Drosophila melanogaster: one gene and its partners. The protein of the gene in region 2 interacts with the protein of the main gene of each other region in a pairwise test. Each region holds a gene or a part of one and is shown on either strand. Other genes may lie near its edges.

Region 1 (6,804 bases), on a different chromosome or scaffold from region 2:
AATGTTAAACAAGGATATTTGCAAGCTGTTTGTGTTTAATTTGCTTAATCAAACGCCAAAATGTGAGACAGTTTCACGTGAAATACCATACTCTTCGATTGGCTATTAATTCAAAATGCTCACTGAATCTGTCTATAATGAACTATAATTAAAAGTTGTGGAGGTCTGCGGTTTCTGTTCATGTTCATATTCACGTTATTAATTGGATTAATTTCTCAATAAGCGATGATTAAGAGAAAACGCCAATTTAAAAAGAGCCTGAAATTATGCCTACATTTTTGAACAAATTTCAAGGTTGTAACTTCCGGTTAGGCGGCTGCATTGTGATATTACACTTCCTGTTTACTGCTGAAACAGAAGATGATTTGGACTTAAAAATACTTTTGCTTGTTATTTTCCGGATTTTAATGCCCCAGCTTTACACCTTCGTTAAGTAAGATTACAAACCACCAGCTGACCAAGATAACACAAGTCGAGCAAAACAAAAATGCACTGGAGTGTTAAATTAAATGCCCATTTAATGATACCTACAATTACGTCCACTTAACCCGACTTACAGAAGATTAAGTTGGCTGAGGACGCCAACCATTGTAATCGATAGCTGATAGTGAAGGCAACTGTTTGCCACCATTCATGACTCGTGTCTCGATTGGAATTTACTGGCAACACATACAAATTTCCATACTCGTTAACATCCAACAATCGAAGAATCAGTTCGCAAATCGTTCACGAATGGCGCAATTGAAAAGCCAATCAGCCGATAAAAGAGCCATCAGATTTGGAGTTCTTAAAAAAAAAAAAAACAATGGCAGTATGACCGGCAATCAGAACGGCAATTCAAATGACCTAAACCTCCCAGGCAGCCAAAGTACGGCCAACCGATTTAATCACTCCGTGATAAGTTGGCCCACTGGGGACGTATAAAAGCTATGGGTTTCGGACTGAACTACCATCAGTTGTGGGCTCCGCTACGTTATGAAGACATTCCTGATTTTGGCATTCTTTGCTCTGGCCGGTAAGAATTTAAGAATTTCCATTTTTAAAGAATACTGTCTAACATGTAACACATCCTTTCAGCCTCGGCTATTCCGATCAAGGAATCTGAGCGCGTCCATGGGGAGAACGGCTGGTACGTTCCCCAGGAGGATGGCACTTCCGAGTGGGTGGACATGGACGTTGCCGAACAGTGGATGGAAGCCCAAGAGTTGCTGGAAAGTCGTGGCTTGACCACCGTTCCCGTAAAGTTCTACCTTTACACCTCCTCCAACCCCACCAAGGGCAAGAAGATCACCGCCTCCACCAAGTCCATTGATGCCTCCAGCTTTAACTCCGCCCATCCAACTCGCTTTGTGATCCACGGCTGGACCCAGAGCTACACCGCCAGCATGAACAAGGACATCCGCAGTGCCTGGCTCTCCAGAGGAGACTACAACGTGATCGTCGTCGACTGGGCCCGTGCTCGTTCCGTGGATTACGCGACTTCTGTTTTGGCTGTCGCTGCCACCGGAAAGAAGGTTGCCAAGATGATCAACTTCCTGAAGGACAACCACGGTCTGAATTTGAACGATTTGTACGTGATTGGTCACAGCCTGGGCGCCCATGTGGCTGGATATGCCGGCAAGAACACCGACGGCCAGGTGCACACCATCATTGGTCTGGACCCCGCCCTGCCCCTCTTCAGCTACAACAAGCCCAACAAGCGTCTGAATTCCGACGATGCCTGGTATGTGGAGTCCATCCAGACCAATGGTGGCACTCTGGGATTCCTGAAGCCCATCGGCAAGGGAGCTTTCTACCCCAACGGAGGAAAGACCCAGCCCGGATGCGGATTGGACCTGACTGGCGCCTGCTCCCACGGACGCTCTACAACCTACTACGCCGAGGCCGTCTCCGAGGACAACTTCGGAACCATGAAGTGCGGAGACTACGAGGAAGCCGTTTCCAAGGAATGCGGAAGCACCTACTCCAGCGTTCGCATGGGAGCTGATACCAATGCCTACATGGTCGAGGGTGACTACTATGTGCCCGTAAACAGCAAGGCTCCCTTCGGCATGATTAACTAATAGAAACTCAATAAACTTCAAAAAACTGTAACTCTCCGTTTTATTACTAATAGGCAATATTTGGTTTTTATGGGCATTACAAAACTGTGTTTTCCTCTGCGAAATCCCTTTGATTTCCACTTGATATCTGGCTTTTTCGAACATAAAAAGGCGACGAAAAATGACTTGTTTTCTTCAATGAACTTGCTTGTCGAATCTAGCCGCCCATAAACCATAAGATTGCTAGCCAACCACTTCCGTTTATTAACATTTATGGTTACACTTGACCGTTATATGGCTTACCTTGAGATCGTTAGTCATTAGTTAGTTAATTGTAACAATGGTTTCATGGTTAAAATAAACAAACGAATTAAGGAACTTTAATCAACTTTTACAAGATTCGATTTAAAGAATAAAGGAAAAAGAAAAGTTATAAAAGTACAAGACTTTTAATTCGTGTAATTTATAATATGCAAATAATATTAAAATAATATCAAGGTTAGTGTTGTGACCCTGGACCTTATCTTTGTGTTGATGCAACTTGAAAAGCTCTACTGTATTAGGTTTTTCCCTTATCAACTTCGTTGGAGAAAACGCTATCAAAGTACAACGTTCTAATCGTTTGTATCGGCCCTATCTTATTATTCAGAAGCTGTCAAAGCCTCAAGTGCTTACTGATATTTAATGGTGATTACGGTTATTATTTCAGGCCTATATAAAGCGTGAAATGAATGCTTTCTCCACCACAATAATTTGAGACCCCCAACATGAAGGTGTTTTTTGTTCTTGCCGCCTTACTGGCAGCCGGTAAGTTTTCATCCATATTGGCAATAGACGCAAGTAATTGATAAGCTATTTCTATTAGTGAGTGCCCTGCCCATTGAGGAGCGCGTCAATGGAGAGAATGGCTGGTTCATCCCCAAGCTTGATGGAAGCTTCGAGTGGATGGACATGCAGGATGCCGAGGATCTTCTGGCCAACGGAGCCCAGATGGAGGGCCGCATCAGCACCAACGCCGTGAACTTCTATGTCTACACCAAGTCGAACCCCACCGATGGCAAGGAGATCAAGGCCAAGTCCGGCTCCGTCGAGGATTCCCACTTCAACAAGGATCATGGCACCCGCTTCGTCATCCACGGCTGGACCCAGAGGTACTCCGACGACATGAACACCCGCATCACCAAGGCCTGGTTGTCCAAGGGCGACTACAACGTGATCGTCGTTGACTGGGCCCGTGCCCGATCCGTGGACTACGCCTCTTCCGTTCTGGCTGTTCCTGGAGCCGGTGGCAAGGTTGGTGAGATGATCAAGTACCTGCACGACCACCACGGCTTGGACTACGATAGCTTGGAGGTGATCGGACACAGCCTGGGAGCCCATGTTGCTGGATACGCCGGAAAGACCGTCGGAGACAAGCGCGTTCACACCATTGTGGGTCTGGATCCTGCCCTCCCCCTCTTCAGCTACGATAAGCCCGCTAAGCGTCTATCCACCGATGATGCCCACTACGTAGAGTCCATCCAGACCAACGGCGGCAAACTGGGATTCCTGAAGCCCATCGGCAAGGGAGCCTTCTACCCCAATGGAGGCAAGAGCCAGCCCGGATGCGGACTGGACGCCACCGGATCCTGCTCTCACGCACGCTCCGTTCTCTACTACGCCGAGGCCGTCACCGAGGACAACTTTGGATCCATTAAGTGCCATGACTACGAGGATGCCGTTGCCAAGAACTGCGGAAGCACCTACTCCAGCGTTCGCATGGGAGCAATTACCAACGCCTACATGGTCGAGGGTGACTTCTATGTCCCCGTGAACAGCGAGGCACCCTTCGGCAAGATTGAGTAGAACCATGTTCTCTGAATAAAATACATTACTGAATACTCAAAAAATTATAGTCTTTCTTTCATTCAATTAGGCCTTCTATTGAAAAATATGAACATTTGTATTTCAATTATTAATTGACTTAATTTGACTTGTATTTATGATTTGCTCTTTGAGTCGTATTTCGCCAGCCCCTAAATTATACTTAGCAACCCCCATCGATTTTGGAGGACCTACCACCGTTCAAAAAGTACTCATACCTGAAGTACACTGGGATTTTCGAAGCACTCGAAATCAATCGAGAATATCTTGATCTGACTGGCAATAGATTAAATACATGACATAGATTACAAATATTTGTGTAGCTTTTGTGTGCTTTCCTATGCGGGTAAATGTCGTCATATTGGGGATTAAATATACAATCATTAAAAACGAATAAATAGCCCTCAAATGATAAGATTATCTTACAATACTATCCTGATCTTATATGTGGTGCTGCTTTTTGATAACTTACAGCCTATAAAAGCTGTGGTAAATTGGCTTAGTGCGTTAGATTCTGCGAAGATATCAATATGAGAGTGTTCATAGCTCTAGCGGCTTTGTTGGCAACAGGTGAGTTATAGAGCGTATTATTGCGATTTAGTGGTAACATTTCTTGGTTTCTAGTAAGTGCTCTTCCCATTGAGGAACGTGTCAATGGTGAAAATGGTTGGTATGTGCCTCAGATAGACGGCAGTTTCGAGTGGATGGACAAACAGGATGCCGAGGAGCTCTTAAATAGAAATTCACTCATCGAAACACGTTCCAATGACGTGTCCTTTTACCTGTACACCAAACATAACCCAACCGTGGGAAAGGAAATCAGGGCTGATGCTTCATCAATCGAAGACTCTCATTTCGATAAGAACCAGGGTACTCGTTTCGTAATCCACGGGTGGAATGGTCGCTACACTGATGGCATGAACGTCAAGATCACCCGAGCCTGGCTTTCGAAGGGAGACTACAACGTGATCGTTGTTAACTGGGATCGTGCCCAGTCCGTGGACTATATCTCATCGGTGCGAGCTGTTCCTGGAGCTGGAGCCAAAGTGGGAGAAATGATTGAATATCTGCATGAACACCATCATTTGTCCATGGAGAGCCTGGAAGTAATCGGACACAGTTTGGGTGCCCATGTGGCTGGCTATGCTGGAAAGCAGGTGGGCGGCAAAAGGGTTCACACGATTGTCGGTCTGGATCCTGCCATGCCTCTTTTTGCCTACGATAAGCCTGACAAGCGACTGTCCACCGAAGATGCCTTCTATGTCGAGTCTATTCAGACCAATGGGGGTGAAAAGGGTTTCCTAAAACCCATTGGCAAAGGCACTTTCTATCCGAATGGAGGAAGAAATCAACCAGGTTGCGGTTCAGACATCGGAGGAACCTGCGCCCACGGACGATCCGTAACGTATTACGTGGAGGCAGTCACTGAGGATAACTTTGGAACGATCAAGTGTCACGACTACCAGGCTGCGTTGGCCAACGAGTGCGGAAGCACCTACAGTGGAGTTCGCATGGGAGCTGTTACCAACGCCTACATGGTCGACGGTGACTTCTATGTGCCCGTAAACGGACAGGCCCCCTTCGGAAAGATCGAATAGAGGGGAACTATTATATTGAACATCTTATCAAAATACAAAAAATTAGTACTCCAATAAAATTCAGCTATTTTTTGATTTCGATTTTCAAGTACTCGCAGGTGAAGTGTACCAGGATTTCAAACCACTTAAACAAAAGCAAACCTTTATAGATAGCATATTCCCACGGGCTGTAATATAAATTTATTAGATAGATGCAACACACGAAACTTAATAATGCCATTACCATACTATCAGTTAATGGCATTACCATATATATAACACTATCAAATGATAAGACTCGTTTCCTGATCTTAAGTAGACTGTCTATTGATAATTTACAGCCTATAAAAACGATTGTAATAAGCCTTTAGCAGACTACATATTACGGAGATACCAACATGAGGGAGTTATTTTTTCTAGCAGCACTATTAGTAGCGGGTATATATTGATTTTCAAAATCATTTCGGTTTAAATAATAATTTCCTCGTTCTTAGGTAATGCCCTTCCTATTGAGGAGCGTATCAATGGCGAAAATGGGTGGTTTGTGCCCCAGGAGGATGGCACATTTCAGTGGATGGACAAAAAGGACGCTAAAGAGCTCTTAGAAAACATTTCCCCTCTCGAATTCCGTTCCAATGAAGTGTCCTTCTATCTGTACACCAAACAAAACCCGACGGAAGGCCAAGAAATTACTGCCGATGCTTCTTCAATTGTAGCTTCTCATTTCAACAAGGACCATGGAACGCGTTTTGTCATTCATGGATGGAAGGGAAAATATACCGATAGCATGAATGTCGATATAACCAAGGCCTGGCTCTCAAAGGGAGACTTTAACGTGATCGTTGTGAACTGGGCTCGGTCCCAGTCCGTTGACTATGCCATGTCCGTACGAGCTGTTCCTGGAGCTGGAACCAAAGTGGGAGAGATGATCCAGTACATGCACGAAAATCACGATATGTCACTTGAAACCCTTGAGGTGATTGGACATAGTTTGGGTGCCCATGTGGCTGGTTATGCTGGTAAGCAAGTTGGGCAGAAGAGAGTCCACACGATTGTGGGTCTGGATCCTGCCCTGCCCCTTTTCAGCTACGATAACCCGGACAAGCGTCTATCTAGCGAAGATGCCTTCTATGTCGAGTCCATCCAGACCAATGGTGGCGTAAAGGGATTCGTAAAGCCCATTGGAAAAGCCGCATTCTATGTGAGTGGAGGACGGAAACAACCAGGATGTGGAGTAGACCTTGCAGGAACTTGTTCCCATGCCCGGTCCGTGATTTACTACGCCGAGGCCATCACCGAGAATAGTTTCGGAGCTATCCAGT
Region 2 (8,320 bases):
CCATCAAATTCTGGCACTGTGCAGGCGACTTCCCTAATGTAAGACCTAATGGCAGCTGCTTCTTCTGCCATGGTTAAGTTATTTTCGGAGTCGGCTGCGTTATTTGTTTTATCGTCGTTCTTCAGCATTAATTTTGCTGGTATAGTTAGATCGTGAAGATCTTCCTCTTTAATGTCTTCCTTGACTATAGTCCTATCTTCCTCGTCAGAGTTAGTGCTGTCTTCATTCAAATTTATTCTTAGTGGGGTGTTTACTATGGTTGGAATTTCTATCTGGAGACTGAATTTATTTTTTATAAATATTAATTTTTCTCTTAATGTCACCAGTAGGTTCAAAGCCTTAGCACACTGTTTGCGTTCCAAATTCTTTCTATTTTGTTGGATCAACTCTCTGATTTCATTATAACTATTTACCAAGACTTGGGCATTCCTATTGATTGTTACAGCTTGTGTTGATCTGTTTTGCGTTAAGCACTTATAGGATTTTCTGAAATTTTCATTTTGATCTTTTATCTGATCAACAAGCTTTTCCCAGTCCATGCTGTGGTATACTCATAACTTCAAATTTATTCATTTGTATATATTTTTTTTTTAATGTAGATAAATTCAATATTACGTTTTATATTTTTTTTTATTTATTATTTTTTTTTTCATATAATTTTTCTCATATTTTCATTCATAATTGACTTTATTAAAGATCTTCCTTAAATATTATCTATACCGTTAGCAGTGCTACGGTATCGTTTCTTAAGACACTTGTTATGCAGTTTGTATATTTTTATTAATGCATTGGATACCATAATTAATGCAATTACAATTAGTATTATGGTTATCCAGAACAAGTCTGCATTTTGGACTTCTACTTTATTTATTACATTGGCTGTAGAGTCCACAGTTTTAGTGTCTATTAGACCCATTTTGGGTATACTAATTTTATATTTTGGAGAATAGAATAGAAAATTTCCTTTGTATATACTTTTATTTTCAGTTTTACTTATTTCATTTGTCTCTATAGACATTTATGTTTGGAATTATCTATTTATAAAATCTTTCAATGTTCGCAAGAGTAAAAAAAAATTGTATTTTACATTGTTGCCTGCCTGATTCTAGCTATGGCTTCACGGGCCATATTGGGTTAACAGGGCATAATAGTATATGCTCCGTTTTACAATATTTCTTACAATTTTTCTTATCTATATATATTTTATATTTACTTTATATTTATATATATTTATTATTATATTCTGCTGTTGATGATGCTCATCAGGTGTCAGCTGGGCGTCGCCGGGGGTGGCACGCTGACACTCCCTCGCTGCTGTCTATTTCTTCGCCGCTGAAGACGTCGATGGTCGCTCACAAGTCCCCAGGCAGTGGGGACTCCAGATTCCTTCGCAGCCAGGGGGGCAGGACTTCTTTGGTTTTGTTAATGCTGGTGCTGGTGCTGGACATGCCTGGTATTTTGGAACTTCATTAATTGTGGGTATATTTTTAATATTATCTGAGTGAGTTTTCTCGAGCTTATGGGTCTTTAATTCTTGCTGATATTGCAACAAGTGGTCTAGCTCTGCATGTAGCTTTAGAGCTTTCGACCAAACCGGTGGCGTTTGCTGACCGTATATTAGCCACCTTACGTGGGCTATACGTTTATTCAGCTTAGTTTTCAAACCGCCACGGTGTTTGCCCATACTCAATAGAACTCTACTCACTCAGATTTTTCCTTGGTTTTTGCAGTTCCATTTAATTAGTCCAGTCTTCTTCCAGTCCAGTGTTCCTTTGTTCCTTTGTTTTCACCAGCTTTGGTCAATTCGTCCAGCGTTGGACGACTGTCACGGTCGCCATGTAATGATGAACTCCAATTAAGAACACAAGTCCGTTTTAAGTTGAAGGCAGCCGTCGGGCTGACATATATTTATTCAATTTCTTCTTTTGATTTTAGAGTAGGCAGAAATGGTTCTGTCAGCTCAACGTCTACAGAGTCTCTCCGATTTTACAGTTTTTTATATATTTGGACTTAGGCTAATCCGCGTAGCTGCGCTGCCGGGTACGCCAGCAGCGGAGCGGCGTTCTTATGTATATCTTATATATCTAGGCTTATCGGGAGAGCGAGATATGTATGTACGTATGTAATATGTATTTGGTCGGCGTGTGAATGCTGACCATGCACTTATACTTTTTGCCTTCGAGTGGGCAATGCACTTATACTTTGTGGCCTTCGAGTGGGTGATCATGTTACATCCGCCCTGGCCTAACTGCGTGCATAAACATAAACATAAACATAGCAACAAAGTGCTGCCATAAGTTAATATGCTATTTTATTTAATTGTTCTTAATATTGCATAGGCACATACTACACAACTCTCAATGAAGGTCTGCTGATTCCAGCACCTGACATACTTGGTGCAATCGAAGGGATGCAGATAGAGTCCCTGTGCTTGTGGAGGACAAGAAAGCGTCGAACGATCCACCATAAACTCAGCTGTAAACGAAAAAGTGGTCTGAAATCAAGTCCAAGTCATCAAGATTCCTTGAGATGCTTACTGGAAAGTTCAGCACTGATATAGGAGTAATCCAAGTAATCATGTGCAGAGAGAAGGCTACGAGGCACACATTGACGCTGGGAGAGGCTGTAAAGCTGTCCAGTGGGACAGCATATGATCTCTAATGCTCCATATTGGCACCTGACATAGTGGCCAGCATGGAATGGATAAGGGTAATTCTTCTGGACATTGGGTGGACACGATCTAAGTGAAGACAGCTGGCTTTGAACATTTCCCCGTAAGTCTTGAGAAGTATAAGTGGTCTGAACTTGGACTTCCTGCCAGAACTGCACCCGATCAGATATGTGCACTTGATGACTTGGAAGACAACTTCTTTGGGATACACTGAATGCCATCTGGGGGCCACAACTTAGGATGGACATTCTGCCACCAGACGAGCACTGAACGTACTTTTTAGCATCGTAGGGATACAAGAAGATGCCGTTGATGTTACCAGGACAGGCATTAAGGATAAGTGCTAGTAAAATATTATCATAAATTCTAGTGTACAGTGATGATAAAGTAACTTACAATACTCATAGCTGATTTCGGAGATAATTAATGTGACATAGTCGGTAAAGGCTAATTGTGCTTTTAACTGACAGTAGCGCCTCGATATGCTAAACACATAATTAGGTTGGCAGTTTTGCACAGCCGATTTACCATCCTTACAACTAAGGAATTTTGTTTGATCAAAGGGATGAACAAATTGGCCAACGGCTCCCACTGGACACAAGAGATAGTTGACCTGAATCTCAGCCGACGTGAAGGAGGAAGCTGTTACAATTCAAAGGGATCAGGATTAGAGTCTATCAACTAAGCAGGCAAGCAAAGCGTGTACAGCGTAATATGAGAAAATAACCCGAAATGAAAAAGCAGATGAATCAAGCGAGGCCAAGCAGTAGGGATAAGAAATGAAATGACACTTACAGGAGGTCCGAGGGGAGTCAGAATACACACATACCGAAGAGGAGCCATCGAAGATGTGGCCCCGTGGACACTGTTCCACCTGAGGCTTAACCCCAATTCCGCACCTCAAATACTTGTGCACGTCGTGCGGATGTGGACGAAGCCCACGTGTACCGGGTGGACAGCCCAAGTCATCAAAAGGCAACGCAGGGTAGCCTAACCGAGTGTTAGTCAAGATTTTTGTATTTAAATCACTCATACGTACCGGTGCCGGAGGTATCATCTCGTACTGCTCCAGTTCCCGATCCGCATTTGGCCAAATCCTTGTGCACACATACCAGTGATGCTGGACTAAAAGCAGTTCCTGGTGCGCAGTCCATAATAAAAGCTTGACCATTGGCGCAGTTAAGAAACTTGCTGCAATCCGAAGGATGCGGTTGCAATCCATTCACTCCCGGTTGACACTTGGGTTCACTATCTAATTGCCTAAGTCTTCCCAGTCGAGTAGATGCAGATTCCGCTGAAGGGCAAACCACATTGCTGGGATGATCGCACACCTGGGTCCTGTCATTGAACAGAGTTCCGGGCGAACACGTCTGAATGGTGGGGCTGCCATCGAAGCAGTTCACATAGCGATGACAGTCGTGGGGATATGCAACCAGACCCGTAAAATGCGGCGGGCATGCCGAATCCCGATGGTAAATAGGCTGCTGCTGGTCGCCTCCGTAACTCGAGTGTGCGTTCCCTGTTGCTGATAAGCCAACTGGTTCCGACTGCTCGCTGTGGTAGCCACTGCCTGATCGATAAGCTTTAGCCCCGGGTCGCTGTCAAAAGCGCAATTATGAAATATTATTGAACAACCGTAAGTAATTAGAGGCAAAATTTAGCTAATAGCTTGTAATTAAGTTCAATTAAAATTAAAGTCTTAAGCGCGTTTTAAATTCCTAAACAACATTTTTAGTTTGACTAAAATCTTAAAAAATTGTAAATAATCTAGAATCTAGATGATATCCTTAAAAAACACAATTTGAAATTATTAATAAACTTTCTACACTAACATCCACTAGCAGGATCGCCAGCCAAAGGCCAAGGAGCCACTTGGCCATCATTTTACGTTTCCGCTTTATAAGTATTTGAATTTAAATATTTCTTAAAATGCACCGATGCTGATAGCAACTACACAATTGTTTTTCTCGCGCTTTAAATTCTTCGTTGTGATCCCGTTCGAATTCCAGGCTCGACTGACCCACACCCAGATCGCATTTCAATTCAATTGGACTCGGGATGAATCTCTATCTCTGCCGCCGCTGATAGATGCTCTCGTTTGTCGCCAAACCAATTGAGTGGACCACACTATCAGGGCTTGTAATCTCAAGACCTTTTTGCTGTCTTATCGCCTTGTTTTGTTTGCATTTCTTTTGGGGTTTTTCACTCATTTATTTACTTCTATGAATCTGAGATGTTGGAGCTTAAGAATGATGATGATGAATTACAGTGGCGCAGTCGCATTTAAACAAACTAAACGTCATACCCAAATTAGACTAGGTGATTATGACTAAGAGACTAGATCATTTGGCTGCCGGCTTATCAGCCGGCGCCCTCTCGGCAAGTCTTAGCCTCTGCTGTATTTTTAGCCAGAGCAGATCGTACGGCTCACTGAGTTCCGTTTGTGTTTTGGGAATTCCCACAGATCGTCGCACTTCCGGCGAGAGGATGAGCAGATTTTGAGCAAGGCCAAAACTGCTGGAAGCTACCCAGTATACACATAAAGCTGAAGGCACTGTACAGGCTACTGGAACCATCACAACACTCAATCCACGGAACACATTGTTGGCGATGTTCTGCAAGCGTGTAGAAGGACGAGTTCTAGACATGGCTTGCACTTCAATGATGGCCAAATTGATAAGACCTAATGCTACAGGCAGGATATAAGAGTTATCCACCACCGTAAGGTTTGGTATCCAACCAAATCCGCCAATGGTCATTTCGGTGGTCACGATTTGAGCTTGAATGGACGTGGGATCCGGCAGCATGTACACTAAATTGCGCAGAGCCACGGATTGAAAGATCCACAGGGGAATCTGACCCCATAGCACAATCATGGTCTTCATGGGATGGCAGTTATCCCGAACTATAAGGTTCTGCCACTGCTTCTTGATCTGTAAGATAATTGACATGACGAAGAGTGTCTCGCAAACATTTGAATTTTAACAAACCGAACGCCGATAAACAATCTGAGTCTGCTTTTCGCTCCACTTGAACTTGTGCTTGGCCATGGCTGCCTCTTTTTTCAGTTCCTCCACAATGGCCGGCATCTCCAGCGCTATCTTTTCAATTCTGGCGGTGATTTTGTGCTGGTAAATGGTCAGAGGCAGGGTGACCACGCTCCGAAAAAGGAAAGTGGACAGCACGATGGACGCCCACCAGGGCAGGCCACTGTAGTCGTGGATCTTAATGAGAACATCCTGCATATAGGCCACCGGCGTGCTGTTGGACAAGGTCTGCCAATATCCCACCAATCCACCGGCATTTGCCAGTTGGACACTCGCGGCCGCCGCTTCTGTAGACGACAGACGATGATTGCATGTGTGATTCGCAATAGTTGTTCCTTGGTATGTGTATTTGTAGATGCCAGCAATTGATGAACTTCTACAGGTGCGTAAAAGAAGCAAAGCTGACATTTTTAATTAATATAAAACTAATAATCAACGTAAACAACTATATAGAATCAGCAGTGCGAGTTGTTATCATTGTGAACAGCTGATTGTTACCATAACACGGCTTCAATCAGTGTGGCCGTAGCTAGGCATTGTAGTTGCATTAACCCTTAACTTACGATGCTTTTTTTGCTATCCGAAATTAGGAAACATTGAAATGCAGTTATTAATTTGAAATCATTTAATCGTTGATAAGAGAACAATAACAAAATTTATACAGTCATTTTATACGACAGCAACACTTTTATTTCCTTTGCATTTTTACTCACTTTGAAATTTCTAAATTAATAATTATCTCGGCTTACTTAAAATGGCTAGACCTAATTTAAGTGCATAAATTGTTTTTTAATTGACGTTTAATTTCATACGTATATGCTTAAGATAAAATTGTGCTTGTATTCATATTTGTTTTCTTGGTCTTGGCATATTTGCGACCTCGTGCGACGGTCACTCTAATTTGGCATTTTAAATTGTGCAGCGTACTCGGCTGCACTTGCAACTTTTCATTGTTTGAAACGCAATTAACATTTAAATCGAGTAATGAATTTTAGCCAACGCCAACCAGAATGGCACAGAATACCATCGGTGGCACTAAATCACATATTCGACTATCTAAATCCCCAGGATCGTCGGTCGGCAGCGGGTGTATGTTTTTCTTGGAGACATGCCTTATTTCAAAAACGGTAAGTTTGTCACTGTGTGGGTGTGTCCGTATCCGTGTGGGTGTAGGTATTTGTGTATGTGGCTGAAATGTTTAATTTCAGTACTTATTGGGTATATTTCCTTTGTTATTGCCCCTTACATTATATAGCCGTGGGTTAATCAAGCGCAAAAAAACATCTGTGCAAGCAAGAACGAATCGTAGACCCCAAAACTTGTTCGACATTTATATGTTGTACTCTTCGCATTTGGCAAGCTTTCAATGTGTGGGGGCAAGCACCTAGGTCCGTTTGTTTATATTAGTGTTGAAAAAAGGGGAAAGTCCACGATAAGAGGAATTCCCCTGCCAATAAATGCAATTAATTAAATTAATTGATGCGATAAGCTGTGAGCTGTAAATTGCGATCTTAGCGATTGCGAGAAAGATACTTATTTTTCTTACCTTTTCTATGCTGATTCATTTATTGTATTTATAGTAATTTTCCTATGTTATTTAAATTAATTATATTGGTCTTTTGGACTAACAAATAGAAAAGAAATAAGCCCAATTTTGTAATTTAGTATTTACATCTATATATAATTAATCATTACCTATTTTTCACCCCTCAGCTATTTTAGAAACTTTCGCTTTCAATTGGATGTGGGATGCGATGATCAGTTGGCCTTCTTCCATCGCTCCATGGCCAACTTGGCCATGGAACTGATAGTAGTCTTCGACTTTCAAAATGCAGTTCACATCCAGAAAATGCGAGGACTTCTATACAAGTAAGTTTGCTTTAGAAAACCCAATGAGGACTCAACCTAACCATTTTCCATCCCACAGAGTGGCGCACTGTGATAACATCCAGAAATTGCGTTTCCAAACCCACAATGTCGGCCTTGTTGCCATCGGAAACATGCATAGCGAGCACTTGTTGGCCATCGAACAGTATGTACCATTAGAAATAAATAAAAAGTTCAATAGTTAGATATCCTGACAATCCCAACAGATGCTTTGTGGAGCCGTTGATTCTGTTTTTAAGCCGCAAGCGTCAGCCCTGCCAGCTTCTGGACCTTGGAGCCATCGAGGCCCTCTCATACTATGGCCATGATTTTCTAAAGGCTATGGGAAAACCACAGGAACTGCTGCAGCTGACACTCGCGAGCATCAAGTACGATCCTAGTCACTATCCCATCCTCTCGTTGGACTCGACCCTGCTGCAGAAATGCGCCGCCCTGCAGGTGCTCTCCCTCGACTACGACACACTTTCTGACGAACTGCTGCACACTATCCAGGTGCTTCCGCTGCGGAAACTTTTGATCGCAGTGCACGGCCTGGATAGCGAAGAGCATCCCGATGTGTCGGAGACGGCCTGGTCCAACTTTTCGGATCACTTTTCGAGCATTGAGTTGGTGCTGACCCTTGTGTATGCCTATGAGGCCATCGCACTACTGCAGCATCGTGTGCTGCGTAGCAATATGCCTGTAACCCATGTGCGACTGCTATTCTGCGAAAAGA
Region 3 (8,139 bases), 3.7 Mb from region 2:
GGGGCTGGTGGAACAGCCACCCGAACCATTGGCCACCAGCAATTGATAATACCAGCAGGACCAAATAGTGCGCCGCCGCAGCACATGGTTATTCCGCTGCATACGTCCGTTAAGGTGACCACGGGAGCGGGCAATCCGCAACAAGCAACTGCAAGTGGAGCACTGGTGTCCAGCTTTATGCGCAAGCGGGATGCGGAAGGTTCGCCAATACGGGCGGCTAAAAATCTAGGACCCACTTTGCTTTCAATGGCTAGCAATAACAGTGGACAAAACATGCCACCGGCTCCGGGCACCACGTTCAACATTCAGCCGGTGTCCGTGACAGTGCCTCAATCAGTTGGCTCTGGGCTGACCGTAGAGGCGCTGGCCAAGAAGGAACGGGAGCGAGTCACCCATGGTGTAGCAAGTAGCGCCGCTAGTGTGCCTGCCACAGTTGGCCCCGTGAACTCAACGAGAAATTCGAGGGCGGACTCGCCGGCTTCGTCGGACGGCTCAACTACAGTGTCGGCGAATTCCTCACCTGGTGTGGATCAGCAATTACAGGACAGGATTGGCGATCAGCCAGCCACGGGAGGCGCTGGTGGGCGCGATAATTCCACGCATTTTAATCCCATTAATGAGGTGTGTACACAACAATCAATATATGCTTAAGTATGGCTTTAATATTTGTTCTTCAAAAGATGTACTCATCACACCAATCGATTCAGCAGAACCTTGGTCACTCCTCACTGGGAGCCCGCAGTGGTAGCAGTGCCTTTGTGGATGTGCAAGCACCAACGCCGCAGCAACAGCAGCCTCAGCAGGTGCCTCATTTGGTGGGATCGACGCAGATGCAACAAGGAACGCGTATGAATGGTACTGGTAATAGCTCCAGCTCCAGTTATGACTGCTCCTCTAGGAAAAAGCCGCGACGATCGACGTGAGTTATTTGAGTGGTTGTATCAAATGATGCATGTTGATAATCTGATAATGTATTTGCCAGCAATGACAGCCAGCACTCTACGCAGAGTCAAGCATCCTTATCGCTGCCACCTCCAAGTTCGGAGCCAACGCCGCCGGCTGGCGCTTCGTACATGCAGAAGCACAACAATGGAGGACTACTGGTGACAGCAGCGACCCCGGGTGTTGCTCCCAACAGTGCGCCAGGCGATGCCAACCACCGGAACAGTACACCTGCTGTGGCGGGCAACAAGGAGAACGCAAATCCCGTCGACTTTGTGATTCGTCGTCCGCGCAATTGTGCTTTGCTCAATGTAAGTTGAAGGTTCAGTTCATTTTGTGGTAGTTAACAAATGATTCCGTTGATCTACAGACGTATAAGCCCACACATAAGTTGGCCAACAATCATTTTCATCGGTACACTGATGTTAAGCCAAGGGAGGAGCGGCGGGCCACAGTCATTGATCTGGCCAATCAGCCAAATGTGCAGGGCAAAATCAATGGATGGAAAATTTATCATTTACGCTCGCAAATGGAGGACTTGGTAAGCAATGGGCACGAAAGTATTGGTAGGCTACTTTGACTGAACTGATTTCTTACAGAATGAATCGGAAGTCTTTAGTCTGGGCAGGCTGGAGACCATGCTGCAGGATCTCGAAAAGGACAAGGAGAAGCACAGCGAAATTGAGCGAGTCACTGAACTGCTAAAGGTGCGCTCTTATACTTATATCCATTATGCTTGAATCTCAACATAAAACCAATTTACTTTGCAGGGAAACATTCAACGCAGCAAGATTATTACCGATGGCATCAACGAGGCACAGAATCAGTTAATGAAGATCTTCGAGCATAAGCCACACGTTTCTAATATAATCACCCGCTGCGCTTCGAAAAGGAATTTCAAGAAGCGCGAAAAGATCTAAAAGTAATTGACGAACGGAGATGGCCAGCCAAGTGTGTATTAATAAGTTGTACATTACCTAATTTAAGCAGAAATTATAGAATCCAAGATAATTACCTTAAACGCGATCGATTTGTAAGTCGTACAGCTACAAAGAAAACCAGCAATATTTTTTCAATTTATTAAGCTAGAAACACAAATACAAAAACCCTCGAGTTGTATTAAGTAGAAAATTGTTTATTATTTGAATATTTCTGTGGTAATCGGCTTGCGTTTGGAGAAATCCCGTAAACATTGTCGATGAATTAGTTGTTTGAAAGCATGGGTGGCGGTGGATGAACGCCATTGAACATGGGATGCATAGCAGGACGTGGCGGTCCCGGCATGGGGAATCCGCCTGGGGGGCCTAGTGCCCTATGTAGATTCGGCGGCGGTGGCGGCAGGATCTTAGGTTCGAACTTGAAGGCGAACTGAAGGAAGAACTGCTTGGTGTCACGGTTCCAGTGCGTCCAGAACTTGCCCTCACTCTTCTCCACTTCGCGGGACGGCACCTTGAACCCTATGGTCTCGTACGGCTCGGCGGCAAAGAGAAGGTACTGCCACTTGCGGTCTGGCGGCTCGATCTTTTGCTCGTAGGCGGACATGAAGCGGTGACGCGGAACAATGGACTCCGTGATTTCCGGGTAGTCCACCTGAAAGAGCAACGACTGCTGGCCGTTGCTGAGTTCACGCTGCTTGGTCACCCGGTAGCCGGGTCGTCCAATCTTGACGAACTTCTTCGGTTCCACGCGGGGCTTCTCGGGCGCCAGCAGCGAAGAGGGTGCCTCCTTTGCCTCCTTGGCGGCTCTTCTTGCCAGATTATCCTGATGCTTCTTGCCCTGCGTGTGGGCCAAATAGCTGCCCTCGTTGTTGTGCAGCGTCAGGCAGAGTTTGCACTCGTAGGAGCCCAGATGGTTCTTCATGAAGTACGGATCCTTGTTCAGATCGATTGTCTCCAGGGCCAGTTGACGCAGTCGCTCCTTGCGGTCGCGGTTCGTCTCCGACCAGGAGGCTACGCCTCCGCTGCCGGTCTTGCCGCCGGCGCGGTTTTGGAAGTCCATTTTGTAAACTTTATTTTAGTTTTCAACCGCACGAAGGAAAAACGTTTTGCGTTGGTAAAATTTCATGAAAATTTGTTGTACAGAACAGGGTTGTCAAGAAACGCCAATTCGGTTAGGGGTGGTAGTTTATCAGAGTCAATCGATAGTTCGTGTGCAGGATTAAAGTATTAAATAAATAATAGAATGTTTCATAAATCCATTAAAATTCTTAATGATAGTCAAATTTTTGCAAACTGTAATATACATAAAATAACTTATATATTCCTTTTGCGATGTTTTTTTAAAGAATTACATATAATATTTTGGTATATTTTCGTTCCGAAGCTTTGAGAATATTTTACTTTTTCAAAGCGGTCACACTATTAATTCGAGCTGCACATGCTTGATCTTTTTTAGAATTTAAAAAGTGAAAAATGTCTAGACAGCGATCTAAACTAAAGTAAACTAGTGTTGGTGACAAGTACTAGGCCTCGAAAAGCGTGTTTTATTTAAATGTCACTGCGTGGATTACGTCGGACTTGAGAAAAATCGAAGCAACGAGTGTTTAAGAATTTCGATTTCTGTCGTCATTTTCGTGGAATAAACAGTGCCAGTGTCTTATGCGATTTTTAAAGTAACCGCGAAATGGACAACTCCAGCAAACAGGTCATCATGGGTCCACCGGCGCCAATGACCACCACTTCTAATCAACCGAAGCCCGGTAATCCCACCAGCGCCCCTCCTCCACACGCCACCAAAACTGCTGCAGCTCCGCCCAAGCGAATAATTAAGAAGATTCAGCTGGATTTCAACAAGCTCAAGGAGGCTGGACTCGATAGGCAGCTGGCCGAGGTGCTTAGGAAGCAGAAGCTGGATGCCAAGAGGGTGGACGCCCCATCGTCCACCAGTCTTTCCACCTCTGCCGCAGCGCAGTCGACGCCAACTGCGCCAGAGAGCAAATTGCAGTCGCCACAACAACAATTGCGTCAGCCTGGTAATGCATACTTGTATATATATATATTTGCTTTAAGCTGTGCATCGCCCAAAAAACCGTTACAAACCCAGGGGTTTTGTACCAAGTGATACGAAAATCGTCTAAATGCTTCTACGAGTTTTGGGCACAGTACCGAAAACCAAAACGATGGTGCAACTGATTGAGACGCCGACAGATTGTCAAAGAGTTAGTTTTTGTATTAATTGTTCTGAGTTCGTCTCGCAGTGAGTGCGGCGCCTTCACTTTCTTTTCGTGTATCTCGATATATTTTATTTTTTACGTATTTCGAATGGCAACCTAAAATAATTTTTTTTAGTTTAAAAAAGTCTATTTTTGTTAAAAATTCAGGTCTATAGGTTAGAAATATTAGGATGGCTAACCATCTGTATCTGTATCTGAACATCTACAATATGTTCACTTGTCAAACAGGACGTTATTATTTCCAAAACATACTGCCAATAAAATTTATATTGAATAACATAATTTGGTATTTAATTATTTAAAACGATCGATATTTTAATAAGCCAAGAGAATCACATGTTTTACAAGGATATTTTATGTATATTTTAATATTCTTTTAATAAATAAATTTAAAAAACCAAAAAAAAATTAATTCGGGACATTTAGATTAGTTGGTACTTTTCTTTGAAATGAGATGAAATATACTGCTAATACTAGAACACTTCAATATTTTTGTCGTTGTTGTTAAATGTAACACAAAAAGTTTTTAACGAAAACTTTTTTTTAAATTTTAACAATTGAATAATGAGTTTAATCAATAATCATTTAATTTTTGTTGTTGTGTGATAGAGTACTAACTACGTAAAGCCATAAATTATGAAAATTTAATTGGTCAAAAGCAAATAAAATTTTACACTTAATTGTAAAATAGGGATAATGAGCTTAATTCATAAATATGATACCCTTGAAAGGGTAAATATTTTTTTTGACTACTCGTCTGGCAAACTAGATTCAAGACCCACTCGTGCCACAACAATTCGTACTCTTTCGGTGGTTCAATCGTCAAGTGCGCGCTCAAAATGAGGTTAGGGACGAAGCGTCGATGCGAGGCAACATAATTCCCTTTTTGGCCCGGGTTCAAATCCCATTGCGGTCAAACTGCCGTTTGTGTGTGCGATTGTTTTTGCTAATACATGCTCTATATGGTTTTATTTAATGTTTGCTTTAACAATGAATTGCATCTTTTATGTATAAGATGGCTTATTTCGCTTTAAAACTGTGCTCCTTTAACTTTGCTCCTAAGTTCTTCTGCTTATAGTTTCCTTTATTAATTATGTTTCACTTTTATAATTTTTAGCACCTCAGCCTCTAGTAAAGCGTTTTATGATCTCGGAACACATCGAGAAGATAGTGCCCATCCAGCCGACTCCAAATCCAACGGATGGTGACCGTTCCAAACAAGTGAAGGCGCTATTAAAGAACAGAATACTAAACAAGAGCTTAATCACGAACACGCAGGCTCAGCAGAAGCCCACAACTTCCAAAGCAGCGCCTAAGATGCCACCACCTGTTTGCCACGAAACAGCTCCTCGCAGTGGCGGGATTTCCCCAGCTCCGGCAGCCTCTTCCATGTCCATTGCCAAGGCGGACTTGACTGTCCGACAAAAGCAGCCGCCACTTTTGCTCAATTTGGTAAATCAGCTGCCCAAACATCGAGCCATGTGCGTATCGAGTGACAGTCCCTTAGTGAACCCGCACGGGACAGTGCATCAAGTTTCCCCAAGTCCACAGAGGATTCCAGTACAGCAAACTACGAATGTTTTTAGCCAACCATATCCACCTCCAGAGGTTCCTATAGCTCGAGCAGCTCCTACGGTTCCCACACAACTTCATAGGAGTCCAACACCGCCGCTAATTGTGCTGGAGCATAAGGTGTTGGCACCCAACGAGAAAATCGATTTGAGTGGGCTTCGGCTGCCCAATGCTCCGGTGGAAGCTACAAATTCTCCGGATAGCGCTGCAACACCAAATATCCAATCTAAAGTGATCAAGGGCAAGGTTATTATGAACGCCAATAAGTTTAAGGTTTCACGGGAAAAACTGGCCGAGATGGCCAAAGAGATTCGTAATCAGGCGGATCAGGTGAAACAACCTCAAGCTATGAAAACACTTAATTCAAAGGATGTTATTTCCACAATGGATACTCATTTCACTATTAACACAATACTTCAACCAAAACGAACGTCGCCCTTTTCATCACCAACTCTGAAAGGAAATATTGCTCCTTTGTATAATCCAAAGCCAAATAAAGCAACAGACTTTTCAGCTGGCTCAAGTATTCGTTCAAATCCATTACCTGTAGAATCAACAAAACAAACAATTATTGAATCGAATGAGTCTACTGAAGACAAGGCAATAGACTTTCCCACATCAGTGCCTACAACACCTGGAAATCGTTATTCGTCTGAACCAAATCAGGCCACTTCTAATTCCGTGGAACTAGAATTAGTTTCCAATTTAGAAACGGAAGGAGTTATGGCAGTTGCTAACCCAATTGATTTTCCTGTATATATTCCCTCAACTCCTGATCCGACTACCGAGTCAAGCCCTCTTAAGTCCTTTAATGAACCAATCAATTATCCAGAGGTGAATGCACTTGGATCAAGTACTCCTGTATATATTCCTATAACTTCGGAAAGAGGGCATTTAACTGCTGAGGTTACCACAGAATCGAACCTGGTTGATTTGCCTGAACCAGAAAACATACCTAAAGATATGAACGCCGACTTGGTTCAATCTGTTCCTTTAATATCCAAATTGAATAGGGAACCGAACACAGAAATAGGTGATATGCATTCTCAAGCGGACACATCAGCAGTGAGTCAAGAACAATCGAGTTCTTCTGCGGCCACATCACCAGAGCATAAAATCCAATCCGCTGTAGATTTCATAGCTCAATTGACCGCTGAAAATCCGCTCGATGAAAGCAGCTTTATGGATCTTTCACCGGAAGAGCAAAGATTGAGTGCTCTATTTGGATTTGGAGGATGTTCGTTTGCTAGTTCATCGGTTACGCAACCCGAGGAGGAGGAGCTACCCATCGGAAAGATTGTTAAAATGGACGATATGAATATATTGCATGCTACTTTGGATATAAGCAGCGACAGTACAAATGTACTGAGGATTAGCCCGAACGCAGTAAAAATGCAAAGCAGTGTAACATCATTGAGTACACCATTGGTGGACTTACAAGTGGGAGACTCAGCTCTGGAGGACACTAATATACACAATAACTTCCCAAACCCAGTAGATAATACCACTGCAAGCGAATTGCAAAATGTGAAATCTTCGGTAACCGAGACCTCAATTCAAGAGGCCAACGATGAAACAACTGTTATCACAACTTTGCCAAAAAAATGTGACGAAAAATCACAAGTGCCTTTGGAAGAGGTCAAGACAGCGTCAGATCCAGAGCCCTTAAAGGAGGTCAATCCTCCTGTGAAAAGGGCACCTATCAGATCCAAAAAAGCTAAAATTAATCTAGTGCAACGCACCAAAAGACCAAGCATCCAAAAGCCAATTGAAGTGAAGAAAGCCAAGTTAGATTTTGAGGAGGAGGACGAGCAGGCGATGGCTATCGATCACAGCCTGATGGAGGATCGATACGGAGTCCCAGGAATCGAGGTAAATGACAATTCAGCTAGCACGAGCTCAGACCAAATAAATCATAATTTATCTAGTGTTAAAAACAATCCAAAGGTGCCAGCAGATGAGAAGCAGTGTGAAGAAGAAATCAGTCCAGTTCAAGATGAAGATTCAGCGAAAAGCCAAGCCCATGAGGACAAAGATGATGAGAGTGAAATAAGTTACCAAAAAGAAGATAAAATTCAGTCAAAATCATCATCGGAACGAGACCTAACCCAGTTATACCACCCACCCAAAATGCCTAAGAATAAATCTACACACAAGACCAGTAGTCAGGAAGACTTCGAGGTTCCACAGCCCGCATCGTCAAGCAGTAATGTCTCCCTAATTGATGTCCTCTCACAAAATCCACCTGCCCCACAGGGTGAGCCCCAGTTACCATTCCGTAAGGACTCGCAGGAGTTAAATACCAGTGTAGATAGCTCAGTTGATGCCAAAGGAATACAGAATTTAATTGGCCACCTGACGGCCGAAAAGGTGGTGCCACAAACCAAAAAGCTATCGCCAACTTCTAAAACAGAAGAAGCATCTAAAGCGCTACCCCGCAAGAAACTTGTTAA
Region 4 (7,910 bases), on a different chromosome or scaffold from region 2:
AATATCATGAAGTAAATGACTGTAAACATTTTGATTTTTACCTAGTTAAGGTACGATGTATACGCAACCAAACAAATACGGCTAGAAAGCTATTTCCTGGTCGGGGTGAAATATACTGGATTAAACGTCAACACTTAAAGCTATAATCAAAAACACGTTCGTTAAATATCGTCAATTAGTATCTCACAAACTCAAAATGCGATATCTCTATAGAAATCGAAATTAGGCTAAGCTGAAATTCCGAAACGAATGTTACATGGTATAACTACTACGACTGAAAATGGGCTTAAGAACAATATGCGCGCCTTTAGTTTAAGGCAGTAGTTTAAACAATGCATGAGCCATTATGAAACGGTCTTATAAACGGTCTTCAAAGGGTAATGTTCAGATTTCAGCGATATACATAGAAAGATTACATGAAACCAAGCTCCATGGATATGAATAATATATTGCTTAAGCAGAATTATAGACTTTTGATATCATTTCGAAAAATAGAATAGGTAAATACCGGCCAAGCAAATTTAGACTGCGTCAATACGTGAAAACATTCTTTCCACAGCTTCCATCAAGTAGATCATAATATCATAAGATCTAACTGATTATCAAATATTGACCTTAATGTCGATCGAGCTATATGTTGTCTACACAAGAAGTCCTAACGCACTCTACACTTTAAGTCCTTGATGCAATATTCTCCAATGATTCTGCAGTTGTCCATTGACCTCTTTTCTTTGTGACAAGAAGGTGATAGTCGTTTTCTTCTATGGATTTCTATTTCTAATAATAATTTCTATTCCCTGGCCTTGAACGTAATCGCTTGATTGGCCTGTTCCGACAGGCGGAGTAGTAGCCGTGCAGGATGAGTGATTGGGGCGGGGTTCTTGCGCACCGGCGATTCGCTTACCTGAGCCACAGCTCCTCCAGGTGCAAACGGATGACGGTCACTATCGATTTCAGCACTGGCAAAAAGGTCGGATTTAGGGGCAGGTGGCACAACTATGGGTGGGAGAACTCACTTGCAAATCAACCAAAAATACAAATATGTAGGTCTGTATGTGTATGTGTATAAACTGTCCAATGGAGCGTCTGCTCGCCAGGAACCCAAAACTAAAACTGAAACTACAACTCAAATTGCAGGTGCTGTCCAAAATGGAATAGCAACAACAACGGCAGCGACGTCGACGTCTATAACAGAATTTGTTTGTTTTGGCCCACTGTTGTCGTTGTTGTTGTTACTGCCGCTGCCGTTGTTGTTTGTGTGCGCAAAGTGCATAGACCGCATCCGCGTCTTAGCCTCCAGCTTGGCCCCAAAGCCAGCGCCCCATCCGATCCCGCCCACGCCCCTCCGGCGACGCGGGTGTGGATTTCGCACTTAATGGGTTGAGTTGGGAATATGGGAAAAGGTTAGTTGGCGACGCAGTGGGCTATCAATTAACAGTTAGTTAACTGCCTCTTCGCCTTGCCTGCAAAGTGTGACCAGAACAGGGATTGAGACGGGAGGTTACGGTCATACTTAATTTCTAATTTAATTCATAATTTGAAATAAAATTGGTTTTATTGTGACGATAAATTTATAGCTTATTTTACGGTTTTTAAAACAGATTAAGTTAAAATTTCAGATTTCAGCTTATAATTATTTCATACATATTTTCTAATTTTTCCGAATTAGTTTGTCCACTAAGAACTTTAAGCACCTAAAATTATTTTTCATCTTTCTGTTATTTGAATTCAAAGCTTAGACAATTTTAACTTGTACGTAAAGTAGTATAATTACACATTTTTGTTTTTTAACTATTATAATCTTATGTTAGTTATAAAAGCGAAGGACCTTACCAGTTACTTCAGGCCTTCTATAATCACAAAAAGTCTTTAAAGAATTTCGCAGCAACTAATATACCCTACGAGAAGTGAAGTTCCCCTTTACAATGCCATTGATCTACTCTAACCACCTCCACCGCATTTGTTATTAAAACCAGCCACCGCAACAAACTAATGACAGATGCTTATCTGCCCAAGCAATCGAAGTCCCAGACAAAGAATTGCGAGACGTTTAGTTTCCCATTATTATCCCCGAAAACGTTGGACTTTGGACCAAGTTGGGGGAGATAGAAACTTTATTCAAAACTAGCCGCCCGTTTTGGGGCAGCGTTATAGGTTGGTATTTTTCGTTGATAAGATTAAACAAACATCGCAATGCGGTCACATCGTCATTGTTGATTTGTGATAGCTGTTAAATAATAATAATTCCGTTTTACGAATTTTGTAAAGATGAGCAAGCAGCCCTCGTTCGTGTCGCGCAACCTGGTGGCCGTCGTGATGATCCCCAGTCTGGTGGGGATCCATCTGGGCTGGAGCTACATGCAGAGCAACCGAAAACTGGTCACGGAGGCGGAACAGATCGAGATGCCGCCGGTCACGGTATGTTAGTCCTAATTCTTAAGGCGATCACCTCAAGACAGCAGCTCCTCTTTTTGTCCAGTTTGCCAGGTTTGTGTGGAACAAGCTAACGGGCGCAGGAAGTTCGACGGAATGACAAACCCTCTGGTGATGAGCTTAAGACATACAATCTATTTATTGTATAGAATAATTAAAACTACATGCAAACTGTATGGTACAATCGGCTGCTGCCCGGGCGACACATGTTGGCCGGGCTGCAGGTTGGGACACAGACAAAATGGAGATATAAAGCCAGAGACTACACATACTTAGTCTAGGGGGACAAGAGAGATTACTGCGTGAGGGCCGAGTGAACGGTGAGGTTGCCCAGCTGTGCGTTGAATAGAACGTCGCTGATCAGTTTCTCGGCCACGATCCGCTGCGTCGGGTTGATGGAGCGCAGTTTGCTCGCCACATTCACGCCAATGGCATCGTACTCGTCGTCTTGCCGGTGCGATGTGCTCGTAGCCGCTGTGGTGGTATAGGCAGTGGTGCCGGCATTGCCAAACAATGGCTGATAGTGATCGCGGCCTATCTGGATGGTGGGAACGCCCTGATGTTGGCCATTCGTCTGCTGCAGGTGGAGCTGCTGCTGGTGGTGCTCCAGATGATTGACCGCCTGCGTGGGGAGAGGAGGTGATTGAAGACCCTAAGGAACTCTTCACTGCTTTGGAGCTACTCACTTGTTGTATCTCGCGCTGGGAGTTGGAGTCTAGGGAGGTGATCTCTAAGACCTTCACGGCATGTCCCTGAGCCGCCGCCGCCGCAATGGAGGTCTGGGCTGCTGCATGGGCTACCATTTGCTGGTGTGCTTGGGCTGCGGCTGCCGCTGCTTCGGCCGCCTGGTGCTCCTCGCTCTTGACAAGGGTCACACATTCCGCGGGCGTCACCGAAATGGTGCTCAGAGTGGCGCCCTGACTGCTGACGACCACATTGTTGGCCGTCGCCGCGACTTCTTCCACATCGTCCGGGGACGTGGGTATTATGGACTCCATGTGCTGAGACTGAGTGCCCGTGTGATGTGAGTCGTCCTCGAACTCCATTGACTCCTCGTCGTCGAAGCTGATATGGAGTTCTCTCTTGGGCTTGGAGCCGAGTTCGTGGCGCTTGGGCTTGTGGTCAGCGATGAAAAGCAGCTTGTCGTAGTACCACAAACGCGTTGCGTAGTCGCCTTTGGTACTCGTCTTGCGGAATTCCCGCCGAAAAGCGGACCGCAGTGAGTTAATTTTCCTGTAAAGCGTGAATTGTGTTTACTGAACTGTGGCACATTTGACATGGAAATTCTCACCTTACTACCATCGCCCTGTCCGGATTGGGCTCCACTTCTTTTAGCTTCTCCACCAGGCGATCGTAGGACTTGTTACGGGCTGTGTGATTGCTGTAGTCGTTGTGCTTGGGCTGCCAGAGGCACTCCTCCTCTTGGTACTGCTCGATAAACTCCGTGAGCCAGTGGCGTGAGTACGAACGCAGGTCTAAGTTCATGGTCCCTTTCACTCGCGTTTTATTTGGGGTTTTCTCAATTAACTTCAGCTTAGTATTTTTTGTTTTCGCTGCGTCTCGCGTGAAGTTGGCTGCGCCACAAACGTCGGGGCGTTGCCAACCCAAACAAATCATCGCGGTCGAGATGGTATCGAGCCTGCATTTTTGAATATAAGGAGCAAAAATTTAAATTAGGCAAATAAAGTAAAACAACTTTAGCCCCTTAAATAAAAAGTGATCGACTTTAACGTTAAATATGACAAAGTGCATACAAATTCTCTAAAACTGAATAGCTATGTGATTCATTATCCGTTTCATTACAATTTTAAGCCAGGAAATAATGATTTACCCTTTGTATTGCATTTATGAGTGATACGGCATATCTATTGCAAGTCAAGAATATATTTTGTTTAATAATATATTTTAATGTTTATTTATGTTTAATATTTTGTTTAAACGAACTTGTATGCCAGTGAATAACACAAATATCTGTAGCACTTGTTGAAATTATTTACAACGTTTTGAAAGGGTGCTTTCTTTTACAATTGACATGACGAAACAATGACATAACGGCTCTGGAACAAATTTTATAAACAATTTTTGACAGCAGTCCTCTCTTAATTTGCACCACTGTGCCACAGTTAGAGGGTTGCGGTCTGGGCTTACCTCCAGCGTGGACTCCACCCACGCCGTCTGGCAGCGCAGTCAGCATGGCAACGCCGAGCGCAGTTCTCGATGTTTTTGTCAATTGCTCTTTGGAGCTTCGCAGGCGGAGTCCGAGAATCGCGCGGAAAATGTGCATTAACAAATAGAAAAATCCGAAATAAAGACAAAGAATTAGCTCGCGGTTAAAGAGAATACAGCACCTGTGTTTTTGGAATCGAAAATCAGTGCGAAACGCCTACCACTGCTGTGTGTTGTTGTTATTGTTGCCAAGGCCGAAGGAGCGAAAAGGGAGGCCGAAAAAAAAGAATCTGTGCTAACAAAAACAAAGGTGCGTGTAGGGCCAAACACACATGAAATCGTACATATGTACGCATATGTATACGTGTGTGTGTTCAAAATAATTTGTTGTTCTCGTTTTGCCCAATTATATAAGGTGTCCGTGTGTGAGTGGTCTTTTTGGGATGTTGCAAGCGTTTAATCGGTGTAAACAAGAGCGAATAAATGGATTGCCAAACAGTTGGTGCACAGTGGCCTTTATCGCAAAGTACTTAAATTTAAGAGAAACAAACAACAACACTTACAAGCAACAGCTGTTTTTCATTCCCCTAGGCGCACTCAGTCCAATCAGAATTAAGTCACGTATGATTCTTATAAATCAAATCCAGTTTTGTAAACAACAAACAAAAGTATTCCGAATTATTGTTCAAGGAAATAAATTGGCTAGAAAATCGCGCATGTGAAAGTGCACTTTCCGAGTAATTTGCATAAATTTCCATTGCCCCATTTGGTTTTTGTTATTTTCCTCCAAGGGGGTACAAAGTCCAGTTGGAATGATGTTGTAGCTGCTTTACTATCTACATCCCGCATCGACCCCCCCCCCCCCTCCAACGGGCTATTTATAGCAAACAAATTTCATAGCCAGAAGCAAAGTGGAAAACACTTGCTGGATAAACTGGATCCGTAGTAAGCCACAACCTTGACTGAGTGCAATAGCAGAGAAAAAAGTGCACAAACACCGCCTAACGAGCTTGTTTACGTTTATCAAGCGCCGGCAACAACAGCATCCCAGTGCACAGTGGTCGAAAAGTGTCGTTCATCGCTCGAATTCCTTATCAAAAAATTTGTTTATGGAGGGGGCACATATCAAGAGGCTGTGCTAAAATCACACTTAAGCCGCAAGCAAAGGCGCGGAATATTTGCTAAACTACTTTTGGCCCAACTTTTCAAGATAGAAGAGCTGAAATCGCTAGGTACAGTGATTACTTGTACCAGAAGGTTGCATTTGAAACGTATCAGCCTATAAAATCAATATAATTTAGTTAATTTCCTTAATCTTAGTAGTTGCTTAGTAGTAGTTAGTCGACTCACTTCTATATAATTTAAAAATAGTAAAATATGCTTACTGCCATCCTTAACCAGTATCCACTGTACAGCTCAGATGCTCACGTTCAAGGTTGCACTTTTCCACTCATTTGCAATCGCATTGATGAACGCTCTCGGTTTTTGCTCCCAAAGATTTCCCGCACCGGCTGCTCAATGAAAAGCGTTTAATTTTAGCCGCGCTCAGCTGTTGAACTTGGAAAAGTGCCCAACCCCCCAAAAAAATCGGTAATCAAAACACACGTGCTGTCATATTCCGCACATTCGGGCGAGCTGAGCTCACATTTTAATATTTCGGCATGATAATTGTTTTGGAGGTGTGTGCCACACATAAACAGGTACATATATATGTATGTACATATATATACACTGGGCACTTACTTATGTACATATGTACATATATCAACTGATAATTCGGTGCCTTTTGCCTTCCATAATGAGCAAACGAAACCAACCGGTTTGCGGGCTTGTTTGCTCTTTGGAGTGCGAGAGAGGCGAGAGCGGGTACATCGATCCGTTCCGATCTCTTCTGGAACACTCCACTTCTATCTAATGTGAGACCCAATTAGCAGCTGGCCAAAGCCTTATCAATTCCGGCTGAGAACCCGAGTAGTTGGCTCGAGAATGACTCGACTTGGGGCCCAAAGCAAAGTTCAATTGCCGGGAGCCAATGGTACTTGGCCAGATAGCTGAATATTGGTCAATATTATGGGTTGGTTGGACGCTAAAAGCCATCCGAGTGCCTATTTTTGAACCTATGCCAAGGGAACGTGCTTCTAACAATTACGAAACAATTGCGAGAGCAATTGAATATTATTTGCATGAACTTGCGAAATGTGTGTTTTCGCTATCAACAGGCGCACATAATATTTTCCTGGGCTCCATAAATACACCTGTCTGTGCAAGAGTAGCACCCAATTTATTTACTCTTCACAATCAATACAATAATAAGAGCAGTACTATTGTTTTTCATTATTGGTCACACATATCAATTATCAGCGAAATCCAAAGCTGTGTTTTTGTCGTTCGTTGGCTGATAAGAAATCCAAACACTTGTCATAAAGTTGCACCTAAACTATTAGCTACTGTGCTTAGAAGAATTCTAGATTAAAATAAAATCATTTACCAATAATTCATGGTACAATAGAAATGCTTTCAGTTTAAACCTAACCTGTTAGTTGGATTTTAGAAGCTTCATTCTCAAAATATTAATATATAAGTTAGTTGTGCTATTATGTTGACCTCAGCTGTACAGCAGCGCCCACTCAGTTTGCTATATGTGTCTCTGCTGGGAAGTCTTATGAAAGCAAAGCAATTTTCGGCTGGTTTAGATTAGTTTTGGCCATATTGAGCTCTTATCAGTGGTGTCGATAAGCCTGCGCTTTTTTGGTGGTCCAATATAGCCGGCTCAGATTGATATGCAAATTGATTTCAGGTCCCCCAGTCCGAGTCTGCGATGAGCCGACTCCTGGAGAAGCCCAACATCGCCATGTCCATCAAGTCCACGGGTAGTCAGCTCTCGAGCACGATGACGACAGCCTCGGCGACGCTGTCCTCGGACCTGGACGATGCGGACACATCCCGCACCCAGCTGAGTCCATCGGAAACATCTGGAGTAGTCCTCGTACCCGCCACTACAGTCACACCCAGTAAGTAAGGCGCAAAAGACAATTCACGAGAGATTTGTTTTCCAGACGCATAGCCAAGGATTTCAAACATTTTGATACTTGAAGGCAGTAAATAAAGCTACAATCTTAATTAACATGTACAAAAATCAAATTCAATGAACTTTCTCGCAATGTGATTTCCAATTCCTAGTAACTACTAAGCATTATAAAATGGACCTATTTAACTATGAGCTTAAATCCAGGACTCATTTTATAGTAGGCACTTCGATTCCACTTGAATGCCAAACATGTCCAAACAAAAATTAGGGAAACGCTAAATTA

The links.
Region 1: the proteins of teq (region 2) and CG6283 interact in a two-hybrid assay, tested with the Drosophila melanogaster proteins (one large-scale study listed by BioGRID).
Region 3: the proteins of teq (region 2) and CG42588 interact in a two-hybrid assay, tested with the Drosophila melanogaster proteins (one large-scale study listed by BioGRID).
Region 4: the proteins of teq (region 2) and CG5180 interact in a two-hybrid assay, tested with the Drosophila melanogaster proteins (one large-scale study listed by BioGRID).

Annotation. Positions count from the first base shown.
Region 1 is NT_033777.3:27,017,359-27,024,162, reverse strand, and holds CG6283 (uncharacterized protein), read left to right. Parts: upstream 1-2,784; 5' UTR 2,785-2,809; coding exon 2,810-2,849; intron 2,850-2,907; coding exon 2,908-3,887; 3' UTR 3,888-3,925; downstream 3,926-6,804. Other genes in the region: CG6277 (uncharacterized protein), read left to right, coding at 976-1,015, 1,078-2,063; CG17191 (uncharacterized protein), read left to right, coding at 4,436-4,475, 4,530-5,503; CG17192 (uncharacterized protein), read left to right, coding at 5,881-5,920, 5,977-6,804.
Region 2 is NT_037436.4:9,071,013-9,079,332, reverse strand, and holds the start of teq (tequila), read right to left. Parts: upstream 4,691-8,320; 5' UTR 4,555-4,690; coding exon 4,504-4,554; intron 4,270-4,503; coding exon 3,711-4,269; intron 3,662-3,710; coding exon of another isoform or gene 3,467-3,661; intron 3,314-3,466; coding exon of another isoform or gene 3,068-3,313; intron 3,015-3,067; coding exon of another isoform or gene 2,538-3,014; intron 2,476-2,537; coding exon of another isoform or gene 2,312-2,475; exon of another isoform or gene 1,877-2,311; intron 1-1,876. Other genes in the region: CG4942 (uncharacterized protein), read right to left, coding at 5,014-5,604, 5,662-6,126; CG4911 (uncharacterized protein), read left to right, coding at 6,703-6,845, 7,432-7,587, 7,646-7,750, 7,812-8,320.
Region 3 is NT_037436.4:12,810,968-12,819,106, forward strand, and holds the start of CG42588 (uncharacterized protein), read left to right. Parts: upstream 1-3,286; 5' UTR 3,287-3,564; coding exon 3,565-3,913; intron 3,914-5,231; coding exon 5,232-8,139. Other genes in the region: Sap130 (Sin3A-associated protein 130), read left to right, coding at 1-621, 681-919, 983-1,253, 1,313-1,483, 1,542-1,649, 1,713-1,862; Sf3a2 (splicing factor 3a subunit 2), read right to left, coding at 2,146-2,940.
Region 4 is NT_033777.3:20,554,406-20,562,315, reverse strand, and holds CG5180 (uncharacterized protein), read right to left. Parts: upstream 4,387-7,910; 5' UTR 4,265-4,386; intron 4,073-4,264; 5' UTR 3,919-4,072; coding exon 3,725-3,918; intron 3,667-3,724; coding exon 3,120-3,666; intron 3,056-3,119; coding exon 2,729-3,055; 3' UTR 2,556-2,728; downstream 1-2,555. Other genes in the region: CG5191 (uncharacterized protein), read right to left, coding at 905-959, 1,017-1,017; CG15922 (uncharacterized protein), read left to right, coding at 2,269-2,418, 2,480-2,533; DPCoAC (dephosphocoenzyme A carrier), read left to right, coding at 7,418-7,610.